4 linked regions of the Arabidopsis thaliana genome follow. The protein of the gene in region 4 interacts with the protein of the main gene of each other region in a pairwise test. Each region holds a gene or a part of one and is shown on either strand. Other genes may lie near its edges.

Region 1 (6,966 bases), 200 kb from region 4:
AAATCATGTATATTCCAAAAAAAGAGTCTAGAGATGTATAAACGAAAATAACTATTTTTTCCGTATTAAAATAGGTAATATATCTTTATACTTAACCTACAGTTAGAGCCTAGTGGGCAACTTCACTACTTATGAATACACACTTTAGTCGCGGATTTGAAAAGATAATAGATAAGGTACAAAATCTTTGAATTATAAAGAAGGTAAGACGGTTCACAAACCTCCGCTATCTTTAACGGGTTTAGCGGTGACCTCAATTGAGTTTTGGAGATCGGTGAAGAGTCTATCTTTCTTTCCTCCACTACTCGACTCGATGAGTGAGAATATGAGAAGTGATACGAAGAGGAGAGTGTGGATGGCCATGATCCGAATGAGAATGTGATCTTGGTAAGGGAGGACGACTAAATGTGTGTCACACATGTGTCTCATATTTATAGAATGCCCATCTTTAAATACATAAACGCCACTAGACGCCAATATTTGAACCGGCGATCATTTAGTGCGAAGAATTTAAGGGAATTTTCGGGCGCCATTACTCGGTAGTCGACACGAACATAGTTGATCTATCGAATAATGTTCAGTCACGAAAAACAATGCCCAAGAATGAAAAAAAAAAAAAAAAAAAAAAAAACTCCTCATCATACCAATTGGACTTACTTAGATCCCAATCCGGAAATCTAATAATTGATCATTCAGGAAGACATCTAATTCAGGAAATCCGGTTTTGAGTTTCTTTTGCTGAGATTGATTGTTGGTCCATCAAAAAAAATTATGTGCTAGTTTAAATATCTCTAGAACAAGTATGCACTAAGTTTGCTAGCTAAAGCAGTCTCCCAATAAATTCTCTTTATGATGTTGGCTTATGCAGCATTTTTGAATCACGCACTTGTGAATTATTAGTGAATATTACAAACAGGATTGCAACTGCTTCGATTCAACCCCGAACTTCTGTGAAGTGTAGACTCACCAAAAGGATTCAGCAAGACAGTTACACTTTCCTTACTTCCTAGGGAATTACTAAATTTGGAATCAAATTAGTAATTGCTACATAAAACGGGCTACAGTATTTGCTTTGCAATCGAACTCATAAGCCTTGTTGATATCAGAGGGAAGACTCTTCCTCCGACAGAAGGTTTTATCAAGAGAACAAGTACAAGAGAATTTTTATGGGGTTCTAAACGGATTAGGCACGGAACATGAGTCTGTGGCAACTGTGATAGAGCACTATCTAAATCTCTATCCTGGTCCTTGTTTTGATGATGTGGTGCATAAACTCACAGCCTTTGATTATAAGTTAATAGCCTATGCTAATTCTCCCTCTGAAGTCACTCCTCACATGGCATATCACATTGAGAAAGCATACTATACTCGTGGAGGCTATAATGATTCCCGTGGTAGAGGTTTCCAGCAACAGTTTGGATCAGGTTCAAGCACAGGTTCTGGATCTGGACAAAAACCTACAAGTCAGATATGTGGTAGATATGGGCACTCTGCATTCAAGTGTCACAACAGGTTTAAAACATGACTACCAGCCTGAAAATCTACATAATGCTCTGGCTGCTATGAGGGTGTCAGATCAAAGTCAGTCTTCCAGACACAGGAGCTACTGCCCACATCACCAATTCAGCTTCTCATCAAAAAAATGTCTGTTGGAGGAAGAGTCTTCTCTCTGATAGTTGATGACTATCTCATAGTCCAAGCAGTTAATCATAAACGAAAATCAATATTCTCCTTCCATTTAGCTCCCTTAACATCATTTGCCTCCACGAAATGGAGTTCTTTCAAAACCCTCGAGCAGTTTCAGACTTCCAGTATACAGAAAACAATCTAGTTTCTGCTGAAAACTTGATCTATTGTTCTGCTAATCAAGGTCTAACTGTTACTAATACATCTAAACTACAATTAACACAAATCTTATCTATGTTTCTTAAAATAATCTGCACTAAATCTATGAAGGAACATGACTTGAAAACCTATATTCATCACCTTAACACAGACGTACACCTAAAAATTCAGCTAGACACTACAAAGAGATAAATTTAGCTAGAGATTTCCTTTATTGCACAACTAAATCCAAAACAGATCCATCTGATATAGATTCCTTGTTAAGAACATATGGAAGTTCATACAAATAACTAGTAATCCAATCAACTGAAACTTATAATCATCTTATTCACAAAGCACCAAATACATAGAAATATGGTTGTGATTACAAACTCTGCATTTCAAATAATTGATCATTCAGGAAAACTCTAGTTCTCAAAATCGGTGCTTTGCATCCGATCAGTACCAACAAGAGACAGCTTGTTATCATATACATCGATATATCCAAACGAATACGTACCTGGGGGACACTCCAAGGCAGCTTCCAAGGATCTATGGTGAACCCCATGAGAATCAACAAAGTATCCTCCTTTATGATCATGTCCGGACAAACAAACTTTAACAGAGTCATACTTGTGTATAATGTTCATCACTTCATCAAAATTCCATAACAAAGCTGCTTTGGATGCCACACCAGGGCTCATAGGCACATGCCCACATACGATAACTCTCTGGTTTGAATTCGATGCATCCTGAAGAACACTGTCTAGCCATTGCAGCTGTTTCTCCCCAACACCACCATTATACTTCACAAATCTCCTTGCAACATCCTCAAGCCCTGCGGGGCTGTTTTTGTCTGTGTTTGGGTTCTTTTCTTCAAGTATTTTCAATGCAGCGATAGTATTAGGATGTTCCTGAGGCCATCCAACAGCACTGATGTCATAACCATCTAACACCACAACTCTATACTCCGGGGTTGGTGAGAAATCATAATAAGCATTGCCATCACGACCTGGGATCTTCAGCAACGGAAGCAACTCTTCGCGGGGGAGATTGTAGAGGCAGTGATTACCAATCATATGATACACAGGACCGTTGAATTTCTCGAATTCATGGACTAGTTTCTTAGTGGCAGCCAAGGATTGATCTTTGGGACAAAAGCCATCAACAATGTCACCCATGTTAATAACAAATTTGAGGTTACCATGTTGGTTCCAAGTTTCAACAGCTCTTTGAAGGACAAGGATGCTGTTTCTGTAATACCTAGGAACACCTAAAAAAGAGCGGCCATCAGAAATATCAGCATACTGAACATCAGCAATAACACCAAATGAGAAGAGAGGCTGTCTGGCTGCAGAACCCATCAACCTATTGCTCTGTGAACATCAAAAGTTATGTTAGAAAAAACTTTCACAATGAATAACATAGTTTAGCTTCACATATAAACCCTCAGGACTAAAAAGCCACGATTTTTGAAAACTGGCACATGAACAAGTTTCTGATCTCACAAATTTGAGCTGAACCTTTTATTAAACAGTAGTTGAAAAAATCACAAAAGAAAGGGTGGAACAATGCAATTGCAGGTATATTTGTAAGAATCTAATCCCATTCGTCAGAATTGTTTTCTTAAATCCATTGTAATAGAGAAATCGTAGACTCAATGGTCGATATCGGCGTAGATCGTGAAAATAAAACGAAAGTCGTATGGAAAATCAACGACATTTTGGTAAAAGACAGACTTACGACAGTAGAGTTTCCTGCGAGGATCAGACAAGGAATGCGCAGAGGTGAAGCAGAATCGGACAAGGCGGAAGAAGTTCTGGGTAAATTCCAGAGAAGATAGCTAAACACGGAAACTCAAGTGAAACTGGAGAATTTTCTTACAAATCGTGTAGTTTTTCTTTACGCTGGTTAAACTACATGCTGTTTCTTTCCGACGAATGCCAAGAAGAGAAAAAAAAAAACGCCCCGTTAATTTGGTTTGGGTTATTGTATCACTAATTCTTATGATGGGCTCATCAATGGAGGAGTTTCTTTAGTTTATATTTTAGTTTTGGCCTTTCATATTTTCTTTGCAACTTATCTCTTATTATACCATTTCTTCTTCAATATATAATCCAATGTAAATGCGTTATAAAATCCATTCTCTTAGCTTGGTGTTATGAAATCATTCAGTAATGAGTAGCAGCATTTTCTCTTTATGCATATACCTCTACTTGTAGCAGCACTTTCTCTTTATGCATATACCTCTACTTGTAGATAGAATCCAAAACTAAAACTCTTTTGAATTGAAACGATCCAGTTTACAAAGATAGACAAACAATCGCCTATCACGGTTAAAAAAAGAGTGATCTTAGCATATTTGTTAATTTATATCAGAATTCGTGGGGTTGTGGGGTAAAGACTTGCTACAAATCATACATATTTCATCCCTATTTACACTCGTCAAATTCAAGTCCCGCTATCTTCTCCTTGCGAAAAACGGATGCCTCAGAGCTTCACGAGCGGTTATTCTCTCTGACGGATCAAATCGCAGAAGTCCTTGCACCATATTTATTAACTCCCCGGCTGAGTGGTCCACATGTTGCATTATTAAATTCTGCAATACAGGCATCACCATTATTTTACAAACTACCATAACACTCCACCCAAACTCAAAATATCAACACTTGACCAACCTGAAGCCGAGGAAGCTTCAATACTGCCTTCAGGCTATCTCTTGAGGTTGCCCCATCTGGCCAATCCAAACGACCTCTTCTCACATATTTCTCTGAGTGCCGGCTTTACCAAACAACCCAAAAATAAATCCAGTTAAACACCCAACAATATATACAATCACTTCAGAATTCAGACCGTGTGTTTTATTCAACTCACTCCACTTTCTTCAGCATTTGTTGAGGAAACGGCCCAAGAACACGCTCCATCATCGCTAGATGCTCCAGGTTTTCATGTGTTTGGAACAATGCTTCACCCTACAAATCTCAAATCTTTCAATAAAAGACTCCCAAACATTCATTAACAATCAACTACTTCAGACACACACCGTGCACAACTCCACTATGATACATCCAACGCTCCAAACATCACACGGATAACTCCAGCCAAGACCTGCACACAAGGCAATGTTTCTCCATAAGTTTGTGATATCTAAAAATTTTAATGAGTTTTTATAACAAGAGCTACTCACCTAAAATGACTTCTGGTGCCCTATAATGTCTGGTTGATACAATGTAGGTTTGGTCCTGGCGCTCATAAGTTGTGCTACCAAAATCAATCACCTTTATTGCACTTGATTTAGGCACTCTTTTATAGCATACATCCCTTTGTAATCGGGACCCCTGCATCAGGAAACACAACCAAATTCCTTCAGCACTTAAATAGTTGGCCACATTAAGGTCACACACAGTTGCATTCGAGATATACCTTGTACTCGGGAATCTTCACATAGTCTGAGGAGACTAACAGAATATTTTCTGGTTTAAGGTCCGTATGAATCATGCGCAAGTCATGCATAACTGCAAAACAAAAATAGACAAGAAAATTGCCATAAGAAATGAAAAGAGCTGAAATTCAAAAACTAATGATGTAACCATCTCAGTGACAAGCAAAACTCAGATAAAAATGCACGAGCATGTAGAATGAAAAGACTGCAAAGACTACACACATGCTACACATTCCAAGAGTTGCCAGCCAATCTCACGGACAAGATCAATGGGAAAGGAGCGATAATTGTTTTTCCGAAGAAAATCGTATAAACTCGATCCAAGCTTCTCAAATACCTGTAGCAACCATTTTAAGTTCATCCACAAAATTCAACCCCAACTATTTCCCAAACCGGGGAAAATCATAGACATCACAAAATTGACTAAATACTTACAATACAGATATGGTTACGATAGTCAAACCAGTTCCGAATTTGTACACAACTGCAAGGAATACAATGATTTAACCTTTGCAAAAAAGAATCTTGGAAAACTATGCTTGACTTCATCAGATTAGTGATGCATGAAGAAAAAGTCAACAGACAGTACTTACCGATTGCCACCTTTGTCATGTTTACCAAGCTGTTGCAGCATTTCAATTTCAATCATAGCAGCCTCACGGTATTTCTTCACACCACGGACAATTTTTACTGCCACCATTTCCTTCCTCTCCCTATCCCAACATTCTAGCACTTGACCAAAAGTACCTACAAGGAAAATTTAGGAAATCAGATACGATAACTACACCGGACCTATGAAAATAACTTGTACAACAACCATAAATTCATACCTTCCCCCATTTTGCTATAAATTTTATCTGCAAAACAAGAAGAGCATAGAGAAATCAGAATACTGAAATCAAAACAATATACACAAGGTCCACCACAACACCTAGAGTTTGTTCAAAGCCATTGACAAAAAAATCTAGAGAAATTTAAAAGGTATCTTCAGGATTTTATCAAAACAGTTTTTTGGTAATAGAAAAGTGGGATTACAGCGTGGAGTTAAGTCATCTCCCAGTTCAAATATGTAATGTCCATCCTTATCATCTTCTCGCCATGGGGGAGAACCATTTCGAGCCACACCCTTAACACAAAGAGAGCTACTATTGTCTGAAGGAGCTCCGGAAGATGCAAAGCTTGATATATTTCCAATCTCTTGCCCACAAAACATTCCTACCTGAGCCTACACATATTCATGTACCATAACAGACAGATGAAAACCTGCCACTATCCTTCTACGCCGACTCGTTCAGAGTCATTTACTATCTTAAAACCTTAAGGGTAAATCCAAATCCAAACAACTTTTTTTGTATTCAACGTGCATCTATTATCTATTGTTCTTCAGAAAAAATCACGAAGTCACGATTATCTTTAACTTATAGAATTGGAGAGGGAAAGGCGAATCAGCCAACACAAAATCTTGCTCAGCTCAAAATTCACAAATCATGCATCAGATCAAATTTGGTTCACCATCTACAAACAAATACTAAAAACAAAACATACCACAGAAATTGAACCTAACAACACTGAACATCTAAAATATTTCAAGGACAGACCAAATTTAAATAGATCTAAAACACCACCTAATTCAATCACAAACTTCACCTAATCATACAGAATTTGGTTTCTTCAAATTGAATAATTGACAAAAACAAAAA
Region 2 (7,298 bases), 220 kb from region 4:
TTTTAATAGAATTGAAATCCAACACTAATCCAATGTTATTCAACTAATGATTCTAAATCCAGCTTTAAAATCTAGTGTTATTGGAACTCATATTTGTAAATCATGCTTAATAGATTTTAAAGTTTGGTGTTATTCAATTAAGATTTTAAATATTTCATTAAAATCCAATGTTGTTCAAAACTAAAAGTCTTGTAAAATCTTTGTATATTAATTGATTTGAAATGAAACCTCTTTGGAGTTTCATGAGTAAATCATTAGAATCAAAATCCAAGATATATTGCAGAGATTTTGAAATTCATACAAACATATTCTTAAAAGCAATATCAGAAAACAAATCTAAAGTTTAAAGAATTAACTTTAACTCCATAATTGAATAACACCAGTAATTCTGAATCTTTTTGTTGGTTTCAGTTAACTATAATTTCTTACTGTTACGGCATCACTGAAATATAAAGAATAATAGAACAAATATAATCGATTGTTACAACTAAATTAACTGACCAGTACACGTGACCGCACACAACTCATAACATGGCCACTTAAACCTTCTTGCTCCATAGGAATTTCTTTCGTTCCCCAATAACTCAAATGTAAAGATTTTTTTTTTCATAACAAGGAAATTCTCTACCTAGTTTTATGCTATATACAGTATGACCAAAAAAAAAAAAAATCTTTCTTGGCAAACTAACATTTAATACTCACTGACTGACCAAATCAAACCAGCCACATACTAATCACACCAACTACATCACATCATTAGTTGCGACCACTTGTTACTTTCAAAGTTTTCTTCTTCCTTTCGTTCCTAGATGTATTATCATGTTGCACATGGCCATCTTTAACAAAAGAAAATGTGCACATGGCCACAAAGAAAGTTGGTTAGTTGTTTAATTAGTTACTTTCAAATTTTAAATAAATCCCATAATCAGTGGACAGTAGTCAAAACACGAATATGAGACAAACCCATCAAAAGTAGAGCTACTGTGGTATTGACTGCTCCAATTATCTTTCTTTTGAAAATTTTAGTATTTCTTTTTTCTATTCAAAATCTATCAACTTCACTTTTCTCTTCTCTCATTGTCATGCCTAGGATTTTCTTTTCCTATTTTTAAGGGTAATTTTTCTTTTAATTTACCGGAATCGATGCATTGGCCAGAGGAAAAAAAAGTCGCGGCAGTTGGTCAAACATTGACTGGCTCCAACATCTTTGACCCAAAAGTTACCATTTTACATAACATTACAAACTTCCGAATAAAAAGTCATTTTATTTGGAAAATCAAAGAGCCATTATTGACTTGCCAAATGGGCACACTTTTAACTAACCTCTCCATCATGTGTGTACGCAAATTTATACTTCAAACTAATTTTTGTGACTAATCTATGTCTTTGCATTGCAATGCTCATAAGAAAATAATACTAGTAAAAGATAAAGACACAAAATCATATTTATATTAATATCAAGATCAACACATCTGCACTTGTTCCCACACTTTAACCTAATTTAAAGATTCCTTAAAACAGAGAATCCTTAAGAAGGGTCCTAGAGAGCAGCTAGCCAGAGGTTGTATTCTCCTTCAATTTTACCCGAATAAACAAACAAAAAAAAGAGTAAATCAAGGGATTAAGAAAGTCTTACTACACTACTTAATCCCCCTTAATTGGTGGCTTTAATTGCCTTTTCCTATATAATAATGGGGTAAAAACTTAAGTGTGACCACTAAGCCACAATCAGCAACGGGAACCTTTACGGCAATTCAGTGCACCAGAAGTAGACGTCAATGGTCCAACTAGAGAAGACGGTTTAGCCCCAAGGCTCGAAGCCTTTGCATAGCTAGACGAGGCTGCACCACCAGACGGAGTAAAAAACGCACCGTTTAGCAACAAATCTCCGGAAGATCTCCAATTCCATCTCTTCCACTCGCTCTCAGGCGCGTCCTCATGCTTAGTCACTTCTTTGCTAAATCTGATATTGGGTGCCAAAAATCTGTTCCCTTGACTATTGATTGTAGGATTAGCACTTCCACCAATCGCATACATCTCCCAATGTGTGTAGTCATTGTTCACCACATGGAAGTATCCATGTCTACACCTACACAACAACAATACAATGGTCCCAAAATTAATCTATATCCATGGTCACAATCACATTAACTACTAACACAAAGTGATTTTTTATTTACCTGGGCATTCTTTGGACAAGGCCTTCACCAAAATGGTTAAAAGCAATGGTAACTTGCATATTCTTGTCACGACTGTAAGTATCACTATGACCAAGCAACATGACCTTATCATGATGTGTCATATGATTGTTAGACAAAGTGATAGCCGTCGAGCCCATGATAGCATCAATAAGTCCATCTTCACAGTTAGAGAACGAACAATGGTCAACCCAAACATGACTTCCTCCAAAGATAGAGACACCATCACCGTCCGATATCGTTCTCCACCCGAAATGCCGTGGAGAGCTCCGCACCATAGCGTTGCCACCTTGCTTGCAATCATGGATATGAATCCCATGGATGATAATGTTGGTCACGTACTGGATCGTTATACAAGGCCCACCAGAGATGTGTACGGAAGCACCACGGCCATCGATGGTCTTGAATGAGTTCATGATTAGCTCTTCTTTGAGCTGAATCGTCATGTCTCGTTGGAAGATGATCCAGAGTGGCTCGTCTTGGACCACGGCGTGTCTTAAAGTTCCGGGCTTGGGGCTAACTGGGTTGTCGTTTCCTGAGTCGGTGACCACGTAGATCCGACCGTCACGGCCACCGATGGCGTTTTTGCCGAATCCAATGGCGCAGTCAGCGAGACGTTGACGGTGTTGCTCCCAGTGAGGGTCACAACGCCAACAGTCGTCGATTGGGTTACCGGTCGTACATGAGAGGTAACCTAACTTCCTTCTTCCTGCAACCGACGCATTAATGCTCCTGCAACAACACAAACACATTGCAAACTTTTGTTAGAAAAACAGAGACTTTTCAAAATGGTCCCATTTTTGTAAAGGCGAGAACTTTGTAACACTATGCTCAAATTGGTTTGTAAAGGTGAGAACTTTGTAACACTATGCTCAAATTGGTTTGTAAAGGCGACAACTTTGTAACGCTAGGCTCAAATTGGGTTTCCATAAAAAGCAGAAATTTAAAGGAGAAGTGGGTTTCAAGTAAATGTGAAGGAAGGGTTAAGGAAAAAAGATGAAAGATTCATACTTGTGAACTTCTTCAACGACAGATTCAGGGTCAGGAACTGGTGAAGATAAGAACAATGGAGCATAGAGAAGAAAGGAGACAATGGTGATAAAGAGCTTCTTCGTCTGCATTTTCATTTCTCTCTCTCTCTCACTTGGATTACAGTACTGTCTCTCTCTCGGATTGTGGTGAGAGAAGAGGGAAGCGAAGGAAGACAGAGGAAATAAGTATTGAGTGGAGAATACAGAGAAGAGGAAATTTTGGGGGTTTATATAAAGAGAAAAAGGACCTCTATACTATTTGTTATTGGAATTTTTAAGGTTTAGGTCCCACTTTTTTTTTTTTAAATCATCTTTAGTTAAAAAAAAACCTTATACTATAATAATGCCTAGGAGGTAGGAACAAATAATATGGTTACATCCGTTACTCAAATCTAATTGTTGACAAAAAACTAAATAAAAAGCCTCCAATCTAATTAGGTCGATATGGTGTACTTTTCAAATAACTTCCACATGACCTGTTTAGCCCAATATATACATTATAGATCCAGGGAGTTGGTGTTAAGTTAGTTAAGTATAAGGATCCATATCAAGTAACCATTATATAGTTTATAACAATATATATTTGCATGTATTTATAATTGTATATTAATGTGTATTTTCATACATTTTAGAACAGTAAAGTCGGCATTGAGAAAAGTTTGACTTTTTCTTGATTGGGCATGTAGAACATGCTTCAGCTTTGTTCTGACCTATGAACTCATGAATTTAATTGTGTATCTACCTCATGGCCTTTCACAAATTTCCAATATATCTTCCATTTGCAAATTGTTTGAACATGCATGTTCTACATTGTCGTGTAGGGGAGGAAGACATCGACGTGCCCTCTTTTAAGTCAAGATAAAGAAGCTGGTGGTGGGAACTAGCGATTCAACCATATCCACTAAGCGTGTATGGGGTATGCCAAGAGCCGTGGATTTGGTAAGTAGTAATGGTTGAGTCGAAGCACTTGTCAGTCAGTTACCTCAGAACTCCGTTTCTTAAACAACATTCTTTATGCATCAAGTGGGATATATATATTAATTATGTTCCAATCTTTCCAAATATACCATAGAATCGAAGAAAATTATCGAATAGCATCATTTGTTCCCACCAAGTTTCTTAGCTCTTCAAAGGGATATTTCGATGATGGAAGACGATTGGAGGACGAGGGAATCTTCAAAATATGTTTTAGTTAGATATTTCTATACTTTTAAATAGATTGTTGCACTGTATATGCTTTACTAATTGCTCCTACCAATAGTTTGATACACTAAATAATTCGTGCGGCACCATTGGGCACTTGCGGAATATAAGAATTTAAAATGTAAAATCTTCCCCAAACGATTTGGATCCTATTGCATTCACATAAAGTATGATGACAACTTTTAAAGTGTGGGATACAGTTTGGTAAATTTTATATCAATATTGCGGGGTTCCTTGTATTATTAGCACATAGCATATAACTCCGATCCAAAGAATTCACTAGGCTTTACTTATAGTTGCATATATTAATTGCAAAACAAAATTAAATAACCATTGGAAAGTTTACGTATCATAGCAGTTATCTGAATATAAACTTTTATTATTCAGAGAAATAAGATTTCCAACCATAGTAATAGTACTACAGCAACATGTCATTCGAGTGGGATATCAAGGGAAAAGGAAGATAAATGATTTAACGTACATGTCAAGTAATCTAGAAACACAAATAGAAAAACAAATAATGGAATGAGATGATGAGAAAGAAAACAGTAGAATCATGTAATAAAATGTCGGGAACACACATTTAATAAGTCGTAATGATTCTATTGAAGATAATTGTCCTTGCATGATCTCCGCCATATATCATTTAAATTTCAATATCCGTATATCTCTATGGACACCTAACTTTTAGATAGGGACTGAATGATATTATAGTGTTGAGGGAATTTTTTAAATAGAAAGGAGTTTATATATTGAACACAAAAATGATAATCAGAAGTGTTTGTAAGAATACTAACTACTTAATTAAGATGTAGAAGAAAATAAGTAGTTTAATATATATTCTTGTCTTAAAACGTAGAAAAAATTAATTGCAGCTATTTGCTTCATGATTGGTGTCGGTGAAAATGTATTGAGAAAACAGTTTGTTTTTCATCGTATTCCTTTCCACTTCATAGTGCACCAATCACGGTACGGGATTTGAAAACTCTCTGGCTTAAAGTCCTTTAGGTAATAGGTGTTGGTAATGATAGGTGGAAGTGGAAAAGCATGGGAGGGAAAGTGATTTGTGGGACATGTAATGTAATGTAATGTAATGCTGCCCTCGTGATTTGCCGGTTTTACGGGATTCCCTAATTGTTAGGTTGTTTTTGACAGTTGAGCATGCTTTTCTCTGCTGGACTCCGTAATCAACTGATACGGTTGCTCTTTTAAACTAAATTAAAAAAATGGGTCCTCCGTCCTCATGAAATAAAAAGTAAAACAGCAAATAGTGTCACCTTTGTTTTTTCTTCGACAACAACAATAATGTCATTTGTTGACAATGGAAGTCTGGTAAAATTGTAAATAATATATATACTAAAATCTTATTTTGTTGACAAAACGAAATGTTATAGACTTATTCCTAGCGAACTCATGCGACCTTAGCACATTTCGATTTCTTGTGGTTGTTGTTGTTCCATACTTGATCCTTGTAGAGAAACAAAGCGCTAGGGTTGACGAATTTTGATCTTCCATGTCTCCATTGAGTGGTTGGTTTAATGATGCTAACGGGCCAAAAGAATGGATATTTAGTTTTGACCATTTCACTAAAACTTGTACATTGTTAAATTCTTAACTAGCTCTTTCATCATTTTGGTAATTTGATCAATTACCTCAGTTACAATTTTTTAAATAATATAGAATTGTATTTTGACCTAGTAGTAGATATAGAATTATTTTACCAATACTTAGATTTCTGGAAAAAAATCTTAATGCTAAGTCAAAACTAACGAACCATTTTTGTGAAATTGTCATAAAGCTATATATTATTTACCTTTTCACGGAAGATAGTGCGATTGGCTAAAAGAAGAAATGCAACTTGAAGTTTTTCTAAACCAACATATGTGTTTTGTCAATATCTTTTGCTTTATCGATAAGAAACTTCAAAGCAAACAATCAAGTTCGACATAGAACTCTGTTCAAGGAAGATAATTACTTTACTTTGATCTCGGCGGTCATATAGTGTGTTCCATGAACGGACAAATTCTTCCTCTTCCCCAAAATTTTCCAAAGGTTATTTTTGGCTATTTACGGGTTGTCACAAATTAAAAAGGAAATGTGCAAATATTTATTATTATTCTTTGACTTGAGGGTTAGGATACTCAATATTTACAACAACCCCTATTCAAAACACAGATAAATAAATATGAAAGTGAATAACATTTAATTGATGGAGTAGTAGGAATCAATCAAGGAGAGAGCTAGGGCCGCTCATATCAACAAGTCTTCACCTTCACTCCACTCCACCAACAAGATTTGATCTATAAGATAAATGTGATAACGACAACGAAGATTTGAGTAATTGTAGCACATGCATCCCAAAACTGATTATTGTTGATGATGAAGGGTAAAGTAGGCAACTCTATCATGCGACGTATCCTTTTTCTTTTGTTTATTCTTTTTCCTGTCCGTAAAGTTCGCCGAGAATTCGAAAAATAAGTAATCTTATGCTATCCAACCATATATCATACGTGGCACATTTCATGCTATCCTCTCTACTCATTGATTGAATGAACGTAATTTTGGTGACATGGAACTTAGAAGGATTCCAATGTCAATAAACCCTATATACTCTGAAGCAAAACATAAAAACTTTGTTTACATCTCCTTTTGAAAGGTGTTTAAAGATTTCTTGATGTCATTTGAAATAGAACTTTAGTTCCAACAGTTTCGAAACGGTGAGAAAGGGGATGAATTATTAGTTCTAATCCGCGAAAGAACTTTCTAACTAGAGAGGAATCATCCCTAGGCATCCAATAAACGTAACTAGTAATTAACGGGGTTGAATCTTCTTCTCATGAGTCCAACACTTTTCTGCCATCTTGAT
Region 3 (7,278 bases), 910 kb from region 4:
ATTTGAGACATGAGGTTGCCAAATCCCAAATGTTATGGACTTTGTGTGCGTTAATCGCTATATATCTTTATTTCGAAAGATATATCTAGTAATAGTGGATACCACGATATGTGCAACTTCACTTCTTCCTAATTAATTACAGTTTCTTACGAAAAATAATGAAAATTTGACTGATTCATTGTATGCACGAAATTATTTTAAAAGAGTCTCAATTATTCACTTTTTCGTAGACCTTGTAACAACAAGTAACTCTGAATCTATCAGGGCAACAAGATAATCTCATGCATTTCAAGAATCTCTCATGTGTTCTTAATTAACTTTACGTCGTCATATAAAACTCTGTTCAGATCATAGTTATCGAGAATCTCAGTACATGGTCCTGACAAACTGCAAAATCGGTGAGAGATCAGTTGTTTGTGTCCGAGCCGCTTTTTCTTGCAAGTTTTAATTTCCCTTCTTTAGTCGTTAACCTAAGCAATTGGTCCCCTGGAATTTCCATCGATGTCACAGATCTCTCTCCTTTAGAGTGAGTGAGGAGATAACGTGTGAGCCACGGGATCCGAATTAACCACAAAAGACACAAACCTTGTACCACAAAAGAAAAGCCCCACTTTGTCTTTAATCGGTTTCTGTTACATGATATGTAACTTACATCCAGAACATTGGCTCACTGGATATTTGTGATGGGCTTCATTGGGCCTTTCAGGCCCATAGTTATTACTCAAATTGGGTATGATTTTGTTGGTTAATGTTGAGATTTGTGTGTTTGGGTGGTTTTGTCTCATATCTCTCTTAAGAGGGAAGTGTAACCTACTAACCTCCTCAGACAATCCACACAGTATCTATTGATTAAATGATGGCTTTAAATCTACTGAAAGTAAAAAAAATGGTTGCTAAATTAACTTTACAAAGAGATGAAATAAAGCTGTCACATCTATAACTAAAGAGAAATGTGTTATCCGATCAAATCTTGTTCTTATAATGCTTAAATCCTTCAACTAGCTCATATCACATGGAATTTATACGGTCCTTGGAACCTTCTTTGCTATATATAGCGGTTGCTACTTTTAAAGAAGGGAACTAGAAGACATGGCAACTACTTCAGAGTTCATATTCTTCACTATATCAGTATATCTGGAAACTAAGAATTTGAGCCTAGATTGCTTTAAAAGTCTGGTGAGAGAAATATATTAGTTAACGTTTTTTTTGTCTTGGTATTGAATCTTGCAGGCCCCATTGTGAATGCAACGTTGAGGACACGGATGAGTACAGTGTCCATTTGTCAGATGAAAGATCCATGATTAACTACTAACTTGTCTTAATTCAATTTTGATAACCGGGTTTGTTTGGTTTCCTATACACTGGAACTTAACCGGTTATCATCACCATGAACACAACAGTTTTACATGTTACACGTCAATTTTTAGTTAGAACTTGCTAATCAGTATTTAGTGTTTAGCACTCGTGGAGCCACTGAGCTAGAGAGTGACATCACTAGAAGGTCCCCAGAGACTCATTTGGCGACACTTGGATAAGGAAACAAAGTGTCGGTGGTCACAGTTCATTCATTTTTAATTGAAAAAATCAAATTTGTTCATTTAAAAAAAAAATTGGAAAATCCAAATATCCAAATTTGAAGTGAATTTGAATCTGCAGATTCAATGTGATCTTGGTAAAAGCACCGATACTTCCCCCAGATGAAAAAAAAAAATAAAAAAAATTCTAGGATTAAGAAAAGAAGAAGAATCGAATTAGTAGTAATGTCCTCTCATTTTATAGCTCTGTTACATATTTATTTAGTTTTAATCATTCTAAACAAAATTAGTCCTTTGTTACTGAAACGAGAAACATAATAGTTCCGCAACAAATAATAGTGGAGCCTTTAGCTTTTAATTAGATATCTAGTTTACCTCTATGAAAATTAGTTAAGAATATGAAAGATAACATAATTTCAGATTTTTCTTAATTTTGCAGGGACATATTAGTATACCTATTTACCTTCTTAGTTTATGTGAAAAATATCAAAACAACGTTTATGTTAAAACATAGGAAAAGTTCAAAATGTACTCTAAACTAAATTCAATATTTAACTTCAACCCACAAACAGATAAAGTATAGGGAACACTCAAGAGTGAAGAGTGGTGAACGTGTTTTATTACATCACATGGATCAAGATTCATTCAATATTTGAGAAGACTTTACGATACGAATCTACTGACAATTACTACAATAAGTAAAATAGTTGGATATATAAATAACTACAGAACAAAAAGTAATTGAATATGTACAAATGGAATTATATCTTGAACTAAATAATCGAAATGTACTTGAAAAAATAAGAATCCACCTTGAGTTCATCGAAAAGAAAGATTCCATAACCTAAAAGGAGCGGTTTATCCGTTGTATTAAAAATTTAACAATAACAAATGTTTCAGGTAATTGCAAATCGACCCATGAATATATTTTGACTTTAGCTATTCCACCCCATAAATATTATTTGTTATAGCCGCCCCCTTTGTGTGTATTATTAACAAAAGAAGCATAAGTTTTTTTTGTAAGATTCTTTTTAGTCATAGGGGCCACTGATGCCACTCAATGAGACCAAAATCCAAAACTTAGTGATTGGTTTTTTGTTTGACAAAAAAATGTGAATTGTTTAGTTAACCAAAATACTCTTCTAAATGAGGTAAACTATCTAACAAGCCATCCACATTAATATCTCCAACCTAAACTTATTTATTTTCTCATAGCACTGTGTAGGACTCTAACTAGCATGATCTATGGTCACTCACCCGTCCTTCGAAATAGTAACAAAGTTGGGTTTTAGATTTCTTACCGAAATTAAATTTCCAGTAGAACGTCTAGCATACATTTGAGTAATTTCAATGAAACTCCACAAATTAATTTTTATCAGTTTGGAAAATATATGTTTTGGCAACAGTCCATATGAAAGTTCATACATTAAAAAAAAAAAACGTAGAAAAACTTTGTTATTTTTTCTCAAATTCAAACTTACACTAATTTAGCTGTCGCATCAATTAAGTATGATTTTTTTTTCTGTTTAAAGCTTATAATGTGTCTGCAATTTGATAAATAATAAAAAAAATTACATAAGTTTCTTATAATAAGTCTACGCTTTTCAATTTTCATTGAATATAGATTCTTAATCACGACTGAACGGAACATACAATTATTGTAGTCTTATAATAATATTGTTGGTTTCTCAAAGTGAAAATGAATAAAGCTTAATGATATATGATCTGTCACGTACTTAAACATATAGAAACAGTAGCAAATTCACCAACTTGCCTTTAATTTACTATAACCTTCAAATTAAGCTTCTTTTATTTTATGAAAAATAAATAAAGAAAACTCCATTTCCCTTTATTTAAGGAGGCTGCATTGCTTGCTCACTGACTCAACTCAAGAGTGGTGTAGTGAGAGAAGAAAGATAGAGAAAAAAAATGGGAGGCAAAGGTGTGATGATGGTGGCGATACTTTGCCTTTGGGCACTCTCTGCAACATCTGAAGCAGTAACAGAGGCTGAGCCAGGTTTGATGATGAACTTCTACAAGGACACGTGTCCTCAGGCCGAAGACATCGTCCGTGAACAAGTCAAACTCCTCTACAAACGCCACAAGAACACCGCTTTCTCTTGGCTCCGTAACATCTTCCATGACTGCGCCGTTGAGGTCCGAAAACTCTCTCTCTTACAATGATCTTTCATATGTTTGCATGATGGGTTTTGATATTTTACCTAAAACAGATCTAAAGATTTTACTCTGTTTTGCTCTGTTTTTTTGGGTTAAACAGTCATGTGATGCGTCGCTTTTGCTGGATTCGACAAGAAGAGAGCTAGGAGAGAAAGAACACGACAGGAGCTTCGGACTTAGAAACTTTAGGTACATCGAGGAGATCAAGGAAGCTCTCGAGAGGGAGTGTCCTGGTGTTGTCTCATGTTCTGACATTCTCGTCTTGTCCGCAAGAGAAGGCATCGAAGCAGTAAGTTTAAAGGATAATAATCGTGCCGTTTTCTCTGTCTGGTGACAAAACTGCATGCTGTTTTTTTCCTTTTTTGACAAAACTGTGTGGGGTTGGTGTAGGTAGGAGGACCTTATATTCCTTTGAAGACAGGAAGGAGAGATGGACTTAAAAGCAGGACGGATATGCTCGAGTCATATCTTCCCGACCACAACGAGAGTATCTCCGTCGTTCTTGAAAAGTTCAAATCCATCGGTATCGACACTCCCGGCCTCGTCGCCCTCCTAGGTACCTTTTATCTTTCTCATCCTTGATTATTTGTCACTAGGCTCCGGAAAAAACGTAACGCTTGAAATTAAAAACTCTTGACCAACCGAGATATTTTGTTGCTGCTGCCTTAGATTAAGGGTATTTCAGTCAATTTACTCATGCATGAAACACTCTTATGACTAATGAACCACTACTAAAGCTAACTTTATTGAATCACAAAAGGAGTGTATGCGATCTGAGTTGAACTTTGAAAGTTATCCTTATCCGATCTATCACTAGTACTAACAAATAAGACAGGATAATCCTTGTTTATGCCCCGGTACAATAGCCTAGCACAAGGTTATTTTGGTCAATAAACTCATGCATGCTTAAACATACTAATCAAACTAATTGACTTTACTCTTATGGGATCTGAATTTAGGCGATTGGAATTTAAGTTTCTTGTTAGATTTTTAAGTTCGATACTGAAAGATTTTGACTTTTTTTTTTTATGACACGTGCAGGGTCACACAGCGTGGGAAGAACTCACTGTGTCAAGCTGGTCCATCGTTTGTACCCTGAGGTGGACCCGTCCTTAAACCCGGACCACGTCCCTCACATGCTACACAAGTGTCCTGACTCGATCCCTGACCCAAAGGCGGTCCAGTACGTGCGTAACGACCGTGGCACCCCCATGGTGCTAGACAACAATTACTACCGTAACATCCTAGACAACAAGGGTTTGCTCCTTGTGGACCATCAGCTCGCACACGACAAACGAACCAGACCAATCGTTAAGAAGATGGCTAAGGACCAGGCCTACTTCTTCAAGGAGTTCACTAGGGCAATCCAGATCTTATCCGAGAACAACCCCTTGACTGGCTCTAAGGGTGAGATCAGGAAGCAATGTAATCTCGCAAACAAGAACCATTGAAGTTGGAAAAAGTGAGAAAGACAGGGGCTCTGGTGTGTTGAGTTCTCTGCTTGGTACGAACCAAGATGAATAAAAAAATCTTTTAAGTTAAATCAAAGAAAGGGTGATGATGAATACATCATGGTAGTGACCACCTCCTTCTTTTGTGTGTTCAGCCTTAATGCTTTAATTATGATGTTAGTGGCTTTGAGTTATTTAATCTAAATGTTGGCTCTTCGTTGATTTTGGGTTTGTGGTGGGGGTGATATAATGATAATGGAAAGGATGTATGATATGATGGATGGTGTTGGGTATCATGTATGACGATGTAATGATAAGTAAACATGTCCGAATCTTTTGATAATTTGTTCAACATGCATGGTATACATAAGTACTGTGTATGGGTGATATCGATCTATTTTACTGATCTCACCAAAGATTTTAAAAATTTGTAGTAAATGACATGAATAATTGAATATGATATGACTCATGAAAAAGATTCCAAAAATAATAATTCAAAATAAGAGAAACGGGCCACAAGCTAAAGAGTAAAGCCAAAAGTCGCAAGCAAAAAGAAACAAAGGCGTAGTAATATTTAATCACATGACCCGCATTGAATTGTAAAGGACAGAGACATGTTATATATAGAGAAAAAAAATATCTAACGGATGAGATTCTCTTCGAGGGTATATAGACTATAGTCTGTACTTAAACACTTCAATTAGAAAATACATAGAAAACGTTAGGTAGACTTTAACTTTTCTTAAAACTAGACGTGAGAGACAATAATGGTGGTGGCGTGTAGACAACAAATGCAGTGATCTATGGTTTAAGATATTTGCAGTTTCAAATCCGAAAATTTATTTAAACATCCACAGATACACTTGGAGCAGCATTAACGTATTATGTAGAGTGTCAGCGAGTTTCATTTGTTTTCTACAAAATAATTGGGATAGAAAATTATAAGTTGCATCAACTTGTTAGCTTCTGTATTTATTCATTTTGTCGACATTTGTTAGCTTGTGGCCTTGTGTATTAGATTCTATTTCTAGCTGTCGATTTTGAATCCATTTTATTTTTCAGCATATGTTTCAAAAGGACTAAACGGATCGGTTCTTTTGGAGTCTATTTATTTTATAACTTACCAAACGGGCTACATTTAGTTTTAAATGATAGGTAACATAGTTCAGGCCCATGACAACAACCCTAATAGCTTTTATGACTTATACACCAAGCAAAGCAAAATGCTCATCTTTTACTTTAATCCTTGTTTCGTTTAATGTTCAATCAGTGAAAAAGCTTCAACAACTTTAATTAATTTGATCTATGTTACACGGAAATGCATCAACACTGAAATTTTAGAGTTCCCTGGAACATTCAAGAAAAAAGAAAGGAATAATGTCACTCCATCTTTAGTTAGAGACGGAAAAAAAGAACTCATTTTTTCTTGATGATCATCTTCATGCTAATTAAAGCGGAAATTGTATAAAATCAAACGAAACTAAACTAAATTAATTCCATAATATTTATAATGGTAATGATGTTTATATGATAATTGTTTTATCGTTGACAAAAAACAAATTATGTTTTTATGATTTAATACAAACTTTTAATGATGGACCAAGCCAGTAAGGCGTACCTAGGTCATACGTTACTACATTTGGGTTCAATATTTTGACTTTGTCCATGAGATTTAATGTGTCTTTGCCAACGGAATGAAGCCGATCGAAGATAAAACTTTGATCTCCTTGCTGTAAAATTGCATGTATGAACTCATTAATTTTGATGTTGCGACATTTACTTTGATCACCACTTCCATGAAAGTGATTTATCTTCCTTGTTTATTTCTTTAGAAGAAAATTGATATAGCGATTGTTCCCAGTCTCATGATCATAAAGAGTGGTGGAGCCATAAATGACTTTTCAACTACATGACAAACACTGATAGTTACAGTGATCTATTTTCAATGAGACAAAACTTCCACGAAGCTCTCTTGCTAGGATCAACGTTCTCAGTCAATATATAGAGTCAACGTTTTGTGTCATCCGAGAATGTATCCTTATTACCGTAAGCGTGCATTGACACATCCCCCCTACAACCTAGATCCATGAGCTCTGAGTTGATCTTCTCTTTAA
Region 4 (9,565 bases):
GTCTAGTAGCCTACTTTATTTAGAGCGTGATAGTGCTGAAGGCCCATCAAATGCTCCACTGGATGCTGAGATACCCAAGGAAAAGCAGATGGCAAACTATTTTCTTGAAAAATTGGGTGAAGCAGGGACATCTAGTGCAGCAGGACACGTAGCTGTGTCTTCTGATTCTATTGTTGCCAGCATGGAGTTGGAGAAAAATAGTCTTTTGCAGAGTAGTCTTGATTCAAATGAGGTGAGCAAGAATGTGTCTGGGACGATATGTGGGTCGCACGATGTGAGCGTAGCCCATAATAGCAAACAGGTGTCTTCATTGACTCATATGACGGACAATCAAGATTCTGACAATTCATCAAGATTATCAGGTGGCCTTGGTAGAAGTAGAAAATTTGAGAGTGACAATTTAACTGGTCTTGCTGACAATGAAGGAAAAGATGATATGGGTCATTCTGACAAAAAGAGGAGAGTAAAACGGAGAAAAAAACGCATCTCTTCTAGATCAATGACCATATCCCAGCGCCTTGGAGCAATTGACAAAACAACTACTGATATTGATCTTGGTATTTTGGATGCCTTGGAGGTCGCTACCAAAGTCGCACAGGAAGTCGCAAGAGAAGTGGACTCTGGAGAACCTTCTCATAGTTCTTCAGAAGAACTATCCGATGAAAGCGGGCAGTCTGGTTCGCAATACTCCCGCGATGATGATGTACATACAGGTTCTCCATCTAAGGGATTATCAGTGACTGAAAACCATTCCTTTGAGGAACCTCATGTTGGAGATGATGATCTAATGGATGAGAAAGATGACAAACCTGAAAGTGGTGATGTTGAAGAAAGACACCTAGCAACAGCTGCTAAATCTGAAGTAGGCAGAGAGAAAAGCCCATGTGGCTTTGATCTTAATCAAGATATATGTCCTGATGAAACAGATGTCATTATGTCCTCCACATCTACAACCCCTGCTCCTATGTCTGTTTCATTTTCTGTCTCATCTTCTGCAATGCCTGCAGCAGCACCGTGGCATTTGGAAAGATCTCTTAGCGGGAAAGGATCAGCTGCTACGAGTGTATTTCACTCAGCATTACCTCATAAAGTTCCTAGTGGGGATTTAAGAGAAAAGCAGGTGATTTCTCGTGGTATCGATCTGAACGTGGCTGAGGTAGGAGATGATCAAGTTGAAGATCTTACTCCTTGGAAACAGTTTCCTTTCTCCTCATCAAACTCTAGGGGTGGAGAGTCTTCACATGAAGCCAGTCTGCGAGGATCAAGCAAGTTCAACTTGGATTTGAATTGTATGAACGAGGACGATGAGATGCCTCCACCTTCTGAGTCGAAGATGGAAACAAGATTGTTTTTAAGTCACAATGGTCAGCAAAGCGCATCACCTGTCTCCTCATCGTCAGTTGCTCAACAATCAGGCAAGGAAGTAAACTTTGATTTGAATGACAGGCCACAGTTTTTCATTGATTCACGTGATCAGGGTCCCTACTATGGGCGGCACCCATGGAGTACAGCCTCCTATGGGGGGCACAAATTGGAAGAACCAGGTATATCTATCTTGGGTACAAAAGTGGAAGCTGACAGAAAAGACTCTGTACCTCAGATGGCTTCGTTCTTGTCCAATGGCAAGTCCCTCGAGCCTGCAACAGGTTTACACATGGGAAGAACGGGAAACTCTTTGGGTCTAGCCCCTGGTGTCTCCTTTTCTCCAGCCCCTATGTATGGCTACAACGGATTGACTGGTCCTCCTGGTTTGTCAATGTCATCACCCATGTATGTTCCTGGAACTGCTATTCCATACATGGTGGATTCAAGAGGTACCCCAGTGATGATGCCGCAAATAATCGGATCAGCGCCGTATGTGCAGCCACCATTCCCTCAACAACACATGTTCATGAGCTTGGCGGGTGGATCGCCTAGTACGAATGGATCAATGCGGCCAAACTTTGATCAGAACTCTGGGTTTGGACTTGAGATAGGAAACAGAGAGTCGCTAAATTTGAGGCAGTTTCTATCACCTTCACAAAGCGGGGCTATGGGAGAGCATTCAGGAGCAAATGTAGAGCCCTCATCGAGTTCTTCTATCAGCATTGGTGGAAAGCGAAAAGAGCCGGAGCCACGTTGGGAGTTTCCTCCATGGAGGTGAGTGATCTACAAAGTGGTGGAGATGGGTTCTTGAATAGGTTGATGAATTGATTGATTGGTCAAAGGATGATGACAAGTGTTTTGAGGTAACTTATAAAGTGTCTTGCTGAACTTTTCCTTCTTTTTTTTTTATTTCCTCAGTTTTCCCATTTTTCAGGTTTTTTATTTTATTTCATAACATATAGGAGGATTAGTTCAAACATTGGTATATGTCAAGCTTCTTTTTAACCTTGTTGGGTTTTTCTCCATAAATAAATATATAGTTTTAAGATACAGAAAAGGTTCTAGTGGTTTGATTAATCTGTTGCGTCCATTTTCGTTCCATTCGTCGATATGTTATGCTCTCATTTCTGAACAACTGTTCATGGAAGAAAGCAGCGAAGGAGGTCTCTGGTGAGGAAGGAAGTCTCTCACGTGTTGTATCTTTCAATAAATAATGGGACCAAATAGACATTACCATTTTTGAACCGCGCATACATATTGCTACTACGGATGAGTGATGACTATGATCTTCCCAAATTGACAAATTGTATCGCCTTTAGGCGAGACTTTAGCCATCAACCGATTAAAGCCAGCCAAACGTAATAACCTTGGCAAGCATAATCATCGTTGTACAAAGAAAAACATCATTTTACTTTTGTATCCGACATCAATAAAAGCATAGCATCCTAATATCCAATAGTTATTTGTCACATGTAAAACAACTAAATATAGCCGTCCGATCGTCCCAATTAGGACGTAAACGAATATCACCGTTGATTTAGCATACTTTGATAATTTAAAAGTCGTCCATCCACGCCACAACCCCGAAATCCACGTCGCTCCACGTCAAGAACAAAACCTTGCTCCAATACAAAACTACCACGTGGCTATCTCACAATACGATCCGTTAGATCTGACACGTTGGCAAATCATGACGAAGCTAACCAATCAGGAGAAACTAAAGTGTACGCAACTAAACAGTTCACACATCACTGAATCATTTCCTATTATATACGGATCTATCGAGCTGAATCATCATCATCACTGAGTAACCCGAAAGCAAAGACTGAGAGAACCAAGGCTCCGATCTAACAATGAGGAAGAGGACGCTCGTGTCCGTTTTGTTCCTTTTCTCGCTTCTGTTTCTTCTTCCAGATCAAGGTACGTTTCGATGTATATATGTGTTGATTTTGAGTAGATAGATATAAGTGTTGCTTAGGATTCATATGCTGATGATGGCGATATTTCTGTGGTGTTTATCATAGGAAGAAAGTTACACGCGAATGCAGAAGAGAGTTCCGATGATGTTACAGATCCACCAAAAGTTGAGGAGAAAATTGGTGGTCACGGTGGTTTATCGACGGATTCCGATGTAGTTCATAGGTTAGTGTTCTGTTAGTTTCACGGTAGAACTTTCGCTTGGATTGCTTGAATCTTGCCTTATTCGAATTCGTTTGATCGACAGAGAGTCTGAGTCGATGTCAAAGAAGACGCTTCGCAGTAACGCGGAGAAGTTTGAGTTCCAAGCTGAGGTTTCTCGGCTTATGGACATTATTATCAACTCTCTATACAGTAACAAGGACATTTTCTTAAGAGAGTTGATCTCCAATGCTTCTGATGTAAGCAGCTTCGTGTACATTGTTTTAGTGAGTTTTTGGGATACCTCGTTAAATAGGGGAACTAATAAGTGTCTGTGTTGGTGATTTTCAGGCCTTGGACAAAATTAGGTTCCTTGCACTCACTGACAAAGACGTTTTGGGTGAAGGTGACACTGCTAAGCTTGAGATCCAGGTTAGCTACATGTTTCTCAATATGATTTTTATGCTTGAGAGTGTTGAAAATAGAGTTTCATCGATTTGTTTTATCAAATGCTGATCTCAGTAAATTTAGCCTTTCGTTGGAATTGTGTCTAGTGTAAGCTTTTTTCTTACCTCCGTAACTATGCTATGGTATGCAGATTAAGCTAGACAAAGCCAAGAAGATTCTTTCTATTCGAGACCGGGGAATTGGTATGACTAAGGAAGACTTAATCAAGAACCTTGGTACCATAGCAAAATCTGGAACGTCAGGTACGTTACTTATGTGGTGATACGTTGTCCTGCATAATAGTATGGATCAATAAATTCCATATTTCTAAGATCTTGCCTTTCGCAGCTTTTGTTGAGAAAATGCAATCAAGTGGGGATTTGAACCTTATTGGACAATTTGGAGTTGGATTCTACTCTGCCTATCTTGTTGCTGACTACATTGAAGTCATTAGCAAGCACAATGATGACAGCCAGTAAGTTGATTTAGAGGGCTTTGTTTGGCAATATACTTGTGGGCATGTAAAATCATTGAAAAGCTTTTCTGATAACTTCTTTTCCGTTTTCAGGTATGTATGGGAATCAAAGGCTAACGGTAAATTTGCTGTTTCCGAGGATACATGGAATGAGCCTCTTGGACGTGGAACCGAGATTAGATTACATCTTAGGGATGAAGCTGGCGAGTACCTAGAAGAAAGTAAACTTAAGGTGGGTAATATTTTGATAAGAAAGTAAATTTCTCTTTTGTTACAAACCTAAATTAAGCAATGCAAAGAACCAGAATAACCCAGGGTTTGTTGTAGAGAACCCCAAACTCTCCTGAGGGGAAGTGGTTCAGCATTATTATGAATTCAGTGCACTGCTTATTCAATATTTCTGTTTATCCTCTCATTATGGTTGCTAATGATCATTGTTGTCTACTACAGGAATTGGTGAAGAGATATTCTGAATTCATTAACTTCCCTATCTCCCTCTGGGCTAGCAAAGAGGTTGAAACCGAGGTCCCAGTTGAGGAAGATGAATCAGCTGATGAGGAAACTGGTGAGTATTAATGAAACACCATATTATAATTTTCTGCTGCAGTGTTATCTTTTTTCCCTTCAGTTTAGGCAGCCCTGATTTTTGGTAATGGTACTTGACTTCAGAAACCACCTCTACCGAGGAAGAAAAGGAAGAAGATGCTGAGGAGGAAGATGGTGAGAAAAAGCAGAAAACCAAGAAGGTGAAAGAAACAGTTTATGAATGGGAGCTTCTGAATGATGTTAAGGCTATATGGCTGAGAAGTCCAAAGGAGGTGACAGAGGAAGAGTACACTAAATTCTACCACTCTCTCTCAAAGGTGAAAACCATGCGTTAACTAAATCATACTTGTTACATACTAGGTGTAAAATTTTCGTGTGGATTTCCCTGACCCCAGTTGTTATACAGGATTTTACCGACGAGAAGCCAATGGCTTGGAGTCACTTTAATGCTGAAGGTGATGTTGAATTCAAGGCTGTGTTGTATGTTCCTCCGAAAGCTCCCCATGATCTATACGAGAGCTATTACAACAGCAACAAGGCGAACTTGAAGCTATATGTCAGGAGGGTGTTCATCTCAGATGAATTTGATGAGCTTCTGCCTAAGTATTTGAGTTTCTTGAAGGTAAACTACTTGAAAGACAAACTAAGGGGTTCTTTCAATACAAATTTATGGGCTAAATCCCTAACGTGAGTTGCTTTTGCAGGGTCTTGTTGACTCTGACACATTGCCTCTAAATGTATCAAGAGAAATGCTTCAACAACACAGCAGCTTAAAGACAATTAAGAAGAAGCTTATCCGAAAGGCGCTTGATATGATCCGCAAGCTTGCTGAAGAAGATCCTGATGAAATCCATGATGATGAGAAAAAAGGTATTCCATAAAACAAGTTTCTTGGTATCAATCCACTTTGACCGTTCCACTTTTTTTTACCATTTGGTAGCTTCATCTTTCTGAAACATGGTCTAAGCTTATTGACTTGTTGGCACGCAGATGTGGAGAAGTCTGGTGAGAACGATGAGAAGAAGGGTCAATACACAAAATTCTGGAACGAGTTTGGCAAGTCTGTCAAACTAGGTATCATTGAGGATGCTGCTAACAGGAACCGCTTGGCAAAACTTCTTCGTTTTGAGACGTAAGCTCTGTTACTTTTTTTTTAATACACGTCTGTCCATTCATTAGCACCAGCAGGCTAAAGATTTGTATTTTGCTATTTCAGAACAAAGTCCGATGGAAAATTGACTTCCCTGGATCAGTACATTAAGAGAATGAAAAAGAGCCAAAAGGACATATTTTACATCACAGGAAGCAGCAAGGAACAGCTAGAGAAATCTCCATTCCTGGAGAGGCTCATCAAGAAGGGCTATGAGGTTTGCATTGCACACGAATAATTCTTCTTTAAATGATCTCCAACTCGCATAACACGTTCTCATACTTGTGTTCCCAGGTCATCTTCTTCACAGACCCAGTTGATGAATACTTGATGCAATACCTGATGGATTACGAAGACAAAAAGTTCCAGAATGTGTCCAAGGAAGGACTGAAGGTTGGGAAAGATTCAAAAGACAAGGAGCTGAAGGAAGCATTCAAGGAGCTAACAAAGTGGTGGAAAGGAAATCTCGCTAGCGAAAACGTAGACGATGTCAAAATCAGCAACCGTTTGGCTGACACTCCATGTGTAGTCGTAACATCCAAGTTTGGATGGAGTGCTAATATGGAGAGGATCATGCAGTCCCAAACTCTCTCGGATGCTAATAAGCAAGCTTACATGCGCGGAAAGAGAGTCCTCGAGATCAACCCACGACACCCTATCATCAAAGAACTCAAGGATAGAATTGCAAGTGACCCAGAGGTAAAACAAACATAAGACCCATCAATTCTTTTTTTTACTTACTGTCTATTAGAGAAATAAACTAACATACCAAATTCTCTCAGGATGAGAGTGTGAAGGAAACAGCACAGCTCATGTACCAGACAGCTTTGATCGAGAGTGGATTCATACTCACCGACCCAAAAGACTTTGCTGCCCGTATTTATAACTCAGTCAAGAGCGGTCTGAACATCAGCCCTGATGCAGTAGCCGACGAGGAAATCGAGGCAGCAGAGGAACCAGAGACCAGTGAGGCAACTGAGACGAAATCAGATGACTTGGCTGGTGGTCTAAACATTGAAGCCGAACCCGTTGAGCAACAAGAAGAGAACACCAAGGACGAACTGTAGATTTCACTTCTGATGTTTCTCCTTTGTGTTTACCTCTTTAGTTTAAAGCAGAACATCGTTTTACTCGAATATCAAGATTAGTTTAATTAAGCAGTTTTTGATGGATTATGTAAACGCACTACTTGCATTCTAGAGATCAAGGAACCTAAACTTCTTCTTTTCAATGTATGAGTTTTTTATCTTTCAAGATTAATGGTCCTGCTGTCCGAGTTTATCTAGATTGTCCGAGTTTATCTAGATATGGTACCATAATATGCACTCTCTTTAGCTAATTTGGCCACCTATCATGCATATATTACTCGGTGTTATTTTCCACAAAATTTATTTTCGAAAACTTATGACTTTTGCAAAAATTTCAAACAGATAATCTGTAAAGCTATAGATTTTATATGGAAAAAGACTTTAATCAATATATTCGTGATAACATGGCTTTTCAAGATGTTGTTTTATCTTGTATCACTTTAAAACATAAAAGAAATTGGTCAATACTTTTGTGAGATCATCACATATCTTGAGCTTGACCCTTGAGACAACGTATATATAGAGGTGCTTTAAACTCTACTCTTGGTCTTTCTTTTTCCTCTTTTCTCTCTTGGTCTTTCGTTTTGTGAATATTCCAAACTTAATTTCTCCACCAAAAGTACTTTTTTTTTTTAATAGAGAGACAAAAATAAACAGTGATGATCATAACAGTCCTTCATTCTCATGTCTCATTCTATTTCATCATCCTTAGCTTCCTCTTCTTCCATGGTACGTAATATTCATATCTATCATACTTTCATATCAGTATGAATATTTCTATATAAAATGTAAATATTAACATATAGCTAAAGCATTGCATTTGGTAGGAAGTGATGGTGCTACAATAACCATCGTAAATCGATGCAGCTTCACCGTGTGGCCGGGAATTTTGTCCAACTCCGGAAGCGGCGATATAGGCACCACCGGCTTCGAGCTCGTTCCCGGTGGTTCACGTTCGTTCCAAGCTCCAGCTAGCTGGTCAGGTCGGTTTTGGGCACGAACCGGTTGCAACTTCAACTCAGACACAGGACAAGGCACCTGCCTAACCGGGGACTGCGGCTCTAACCAGGTCGAATGTAACGGTGCAGGAGCAAAACCGCCCGCTACACTCGCCGAATTCACAATCGGGTCAGGTCCAGCAGACCCGGCCCGTAAACAAGACTTCTACGACGTAAGCCTCGTGGACGGTTACAACGTTCCCATGTTGGTGGAAGCAAGTGGCGGGTCAGAAGGTACTTGCTTAACCACGGGATGCGTAACGGATCTAAACCAAAAATGTCCAACGGAGCTCCGGTTCGGGTCCGGGTCAGCATGCAAAAGCGCGTGTGAGGCTTTTGGTAGTCCAGAATATTGTTGTAGTGGCGCGTACGCCTCACCCACCGAGTGTAAACCATCGATGTACTCGGAGATATTCAAATCTGCGTGTCCAAGATCATATAGCTACGCGTTCGACGATGCTACAAGTACGTTCACATGCACTGATGCTGATTACACCATCACTTTTTGCCCTTCCTTGCCTAGGTAGGTTAACTTATTTTATTTTTGTTTTCATTTTATTTGTTCCCACTTGCTTTTTGGTAAATGCACACGACGAGCTTAGCTAGCAAAGTAAGGTGATTGGCTTGAGCCAGGCTAAGAAAAAGAAGTTGATACTTTTTTTTTTTTTACACGTAATAAAGGAGTTTATAATAGTCATTCCATCAAAGAAAAGGAAAACAAAAAGGTTATTACAACACGTACCATAGGCCTACCATTATGAAACGGGGAAGCACAGATAAATTATTAAAATTTAGTCCTATATTTAGTCCTATATACTATTATTCTGATAATCTGATTAAAGTTGGAATATGTTACAGCCAAAAATCGGCAGCGAATGGGTGGAGAGATGGCGGTGGATCAGTACAAACCTCACCGTCACCATTATCGACGTGGTTGTCCGATGTCTTCACCTCTGATTCCTCAAATGTTCAGTCTTCCCAATATTTACTCATCTTTACTATTTTTCTTCTTCTGCATTTTTGATATTTTTGTTTCTCATTTCCGGGTGTATATTTTCTATCCTATAACATTTTTATGTTTCATGATTATGATTATGCACATTGATGAACATTTAATTTAACCAAATTTATTTGGGGGTTGATTTAAATTTTGGCGGAAAATAGCCTAAAGTCCATGCAAAACCGTATCCAAATGCAAAGTATATGAGATGCCACTAACTTTAGGGTAGAAGTACGATAAGTGTTATAGTCGCAAATTAGTAAGCAACATAATAAAATACTACCAAGTGAAAAGGACTCGTGTATTTATAGATATATAGTATTAGTTTTTGTTTTGCTTTGATGATGGATGATGTGTCCGATAAGAATTACATTGATG

Evidence for each region.
Region 1: the proteins of SHD (region 4) and AT4G24730 interact in a two-hybrid assay, tested with the Arabidopsis thaliana proteins (one study listed by BioGRID).
Region 2: the proteins of SHD (region 4) and AT4G24780 interact in a two-hybrid assay, tested with the Arabidopsis thaliana proteins (one study listed by BioGRID).
Region 3: the proteins of SHD (region 4) and PRXR1 interact in a two-hybrid assay, tested with the Arabidopsis thaliana proteins (one study listed by BioGRID).

The regions. Positions count from the first base shown.
Region 1 is NC_003075.7:12,750,444-12,757,409, forward strand, and holds AT4G24730 (manganese-dependent ADP-ribose/CDP-alcohol diphosphatase-like protein), read right to left. Parts: upstream 3,864-6,966; 5' UTR 3,568-3,863; exon of another isoform or gene 3,201-3,567; 5' UTR 3,189-3,200; coding exon 2,253-3,188; 3' UTR 2,085-2,252; downstream 1-2,084. Other genes in the region: AT4G24715 (high-affinity nitrate transporter-like protein), read right to left, coding at 222-429; FC2 (LAMMER-type protein kinase AFC2), read right to left, coding at 4,286-4,423, 4,503-4,605, 4,699-4,796, 4,868-4,932, 5,012-5,162, 5,248-5,339, 5,489-5,603, 5,702-5,750 and 3 more. UniProt on the Arabidopsis thaliana protein: Hydrolyzes ADP-ribose, IDP-ribose, CDP-glycerol, CDP-choline and CDP-ethanolamine, but not other non-reducing ADP-sugars or CDP-glucose.
Region 2 is NC_003075.7:12,768,903-12,776,200, forward strand, and holds AT4G24780 (Pectin lyase-like superfamily protein), read right to left. Parts: upstream 3,537-7,298; 5' UTR 3,326-3,536; coding exon 3,210-3,325; intron 2,931-3,209; coding exon 2,181-2,930; intron 2,090-2,180; coding exon 1,729-2,089; 3' UTR 1,319-1,728; downstream 1-1,318.
Region 3 is NC_003075.7:11,644,499-11,651,776, reverse strand, and holds PRXR1 (Peroxidase superfamily protein), read left to right. Parts: upstream 1-3,132; 5' UTR 3,133-3,464; coding exon 3,465-3,692; intron 3,693-3,813; coding exon 3,814-4,002; intron 4,003-4,103; coding exon 4,104-4,269; intron 4,270-4,754; coding exon 4,755-5,164; 3' UTR 5,165-5,668; downstream 5,669-7,278. Other genes in the region: AT4G21950 (uncharacterized protein), read right to left, coding at 7,172-7,278.
Region 4 is NC_003075.7:12,549,505-12,559,069, reverse strand, and holds SHD (Chaperone protein htpG family protein), read left to right. Parts: upstream 1-3,011; 5' UTR 3,012-3,218; coding exon 3,219-3,285; coding exon of another isoform or gene 3,286-3,289; intron 3,290-3,389; coding exon 3,390-3,507; intron 3,508-3,589; coding exon 3,590-3,743; intron 3,744-3,834; coding exon 3,835-3,915; intron 3,916-4,081; coding exon 4,082-4,193; intron 4,194-4,278; coding exon 4,279-4,405; intron 4,406-4,498; coding exon 4,499-4,637; intron 4,638-4,855; coding exon 4,856-4,970; intron 4,971-5,074; coding exon 5,075-5,268; intron 5,269-5,357; coding exon 5,358-5,573; intron 5,574-5,655; coding exon 5,656-5,821; intron 5,822-5,941; coding exon 5,942-6,083; intron 6,084-6,167; coding exon 6,168-6,318; intron 6,319-6,395; coding exon 6,396-6,800; intron 6,801-6,883; coding exon 6,884-7,168; 3' UTR 7,169-7,518; downstream 7,519-9,565. Other genes in the region: AT4G24200 (Transcription elongation factor (TFIIS) family protein), read left to right, coding at 1-2,143; TLP1 (THAUMATIN-LIKE PROTEIN 1), read left to right, coding at 7,849-7,918, 8,002-8,652, 9,046-9,308. UniProt on the Arabidopsis thaliana protein: May have a molecular chaperone role in the processing of secreted materials. Required for shoot apical meristem (SAM), root apical meristem (RAM) and floral meristem (FM) formation, probably by regulating the folding of CLAVATA proteins (CLVs).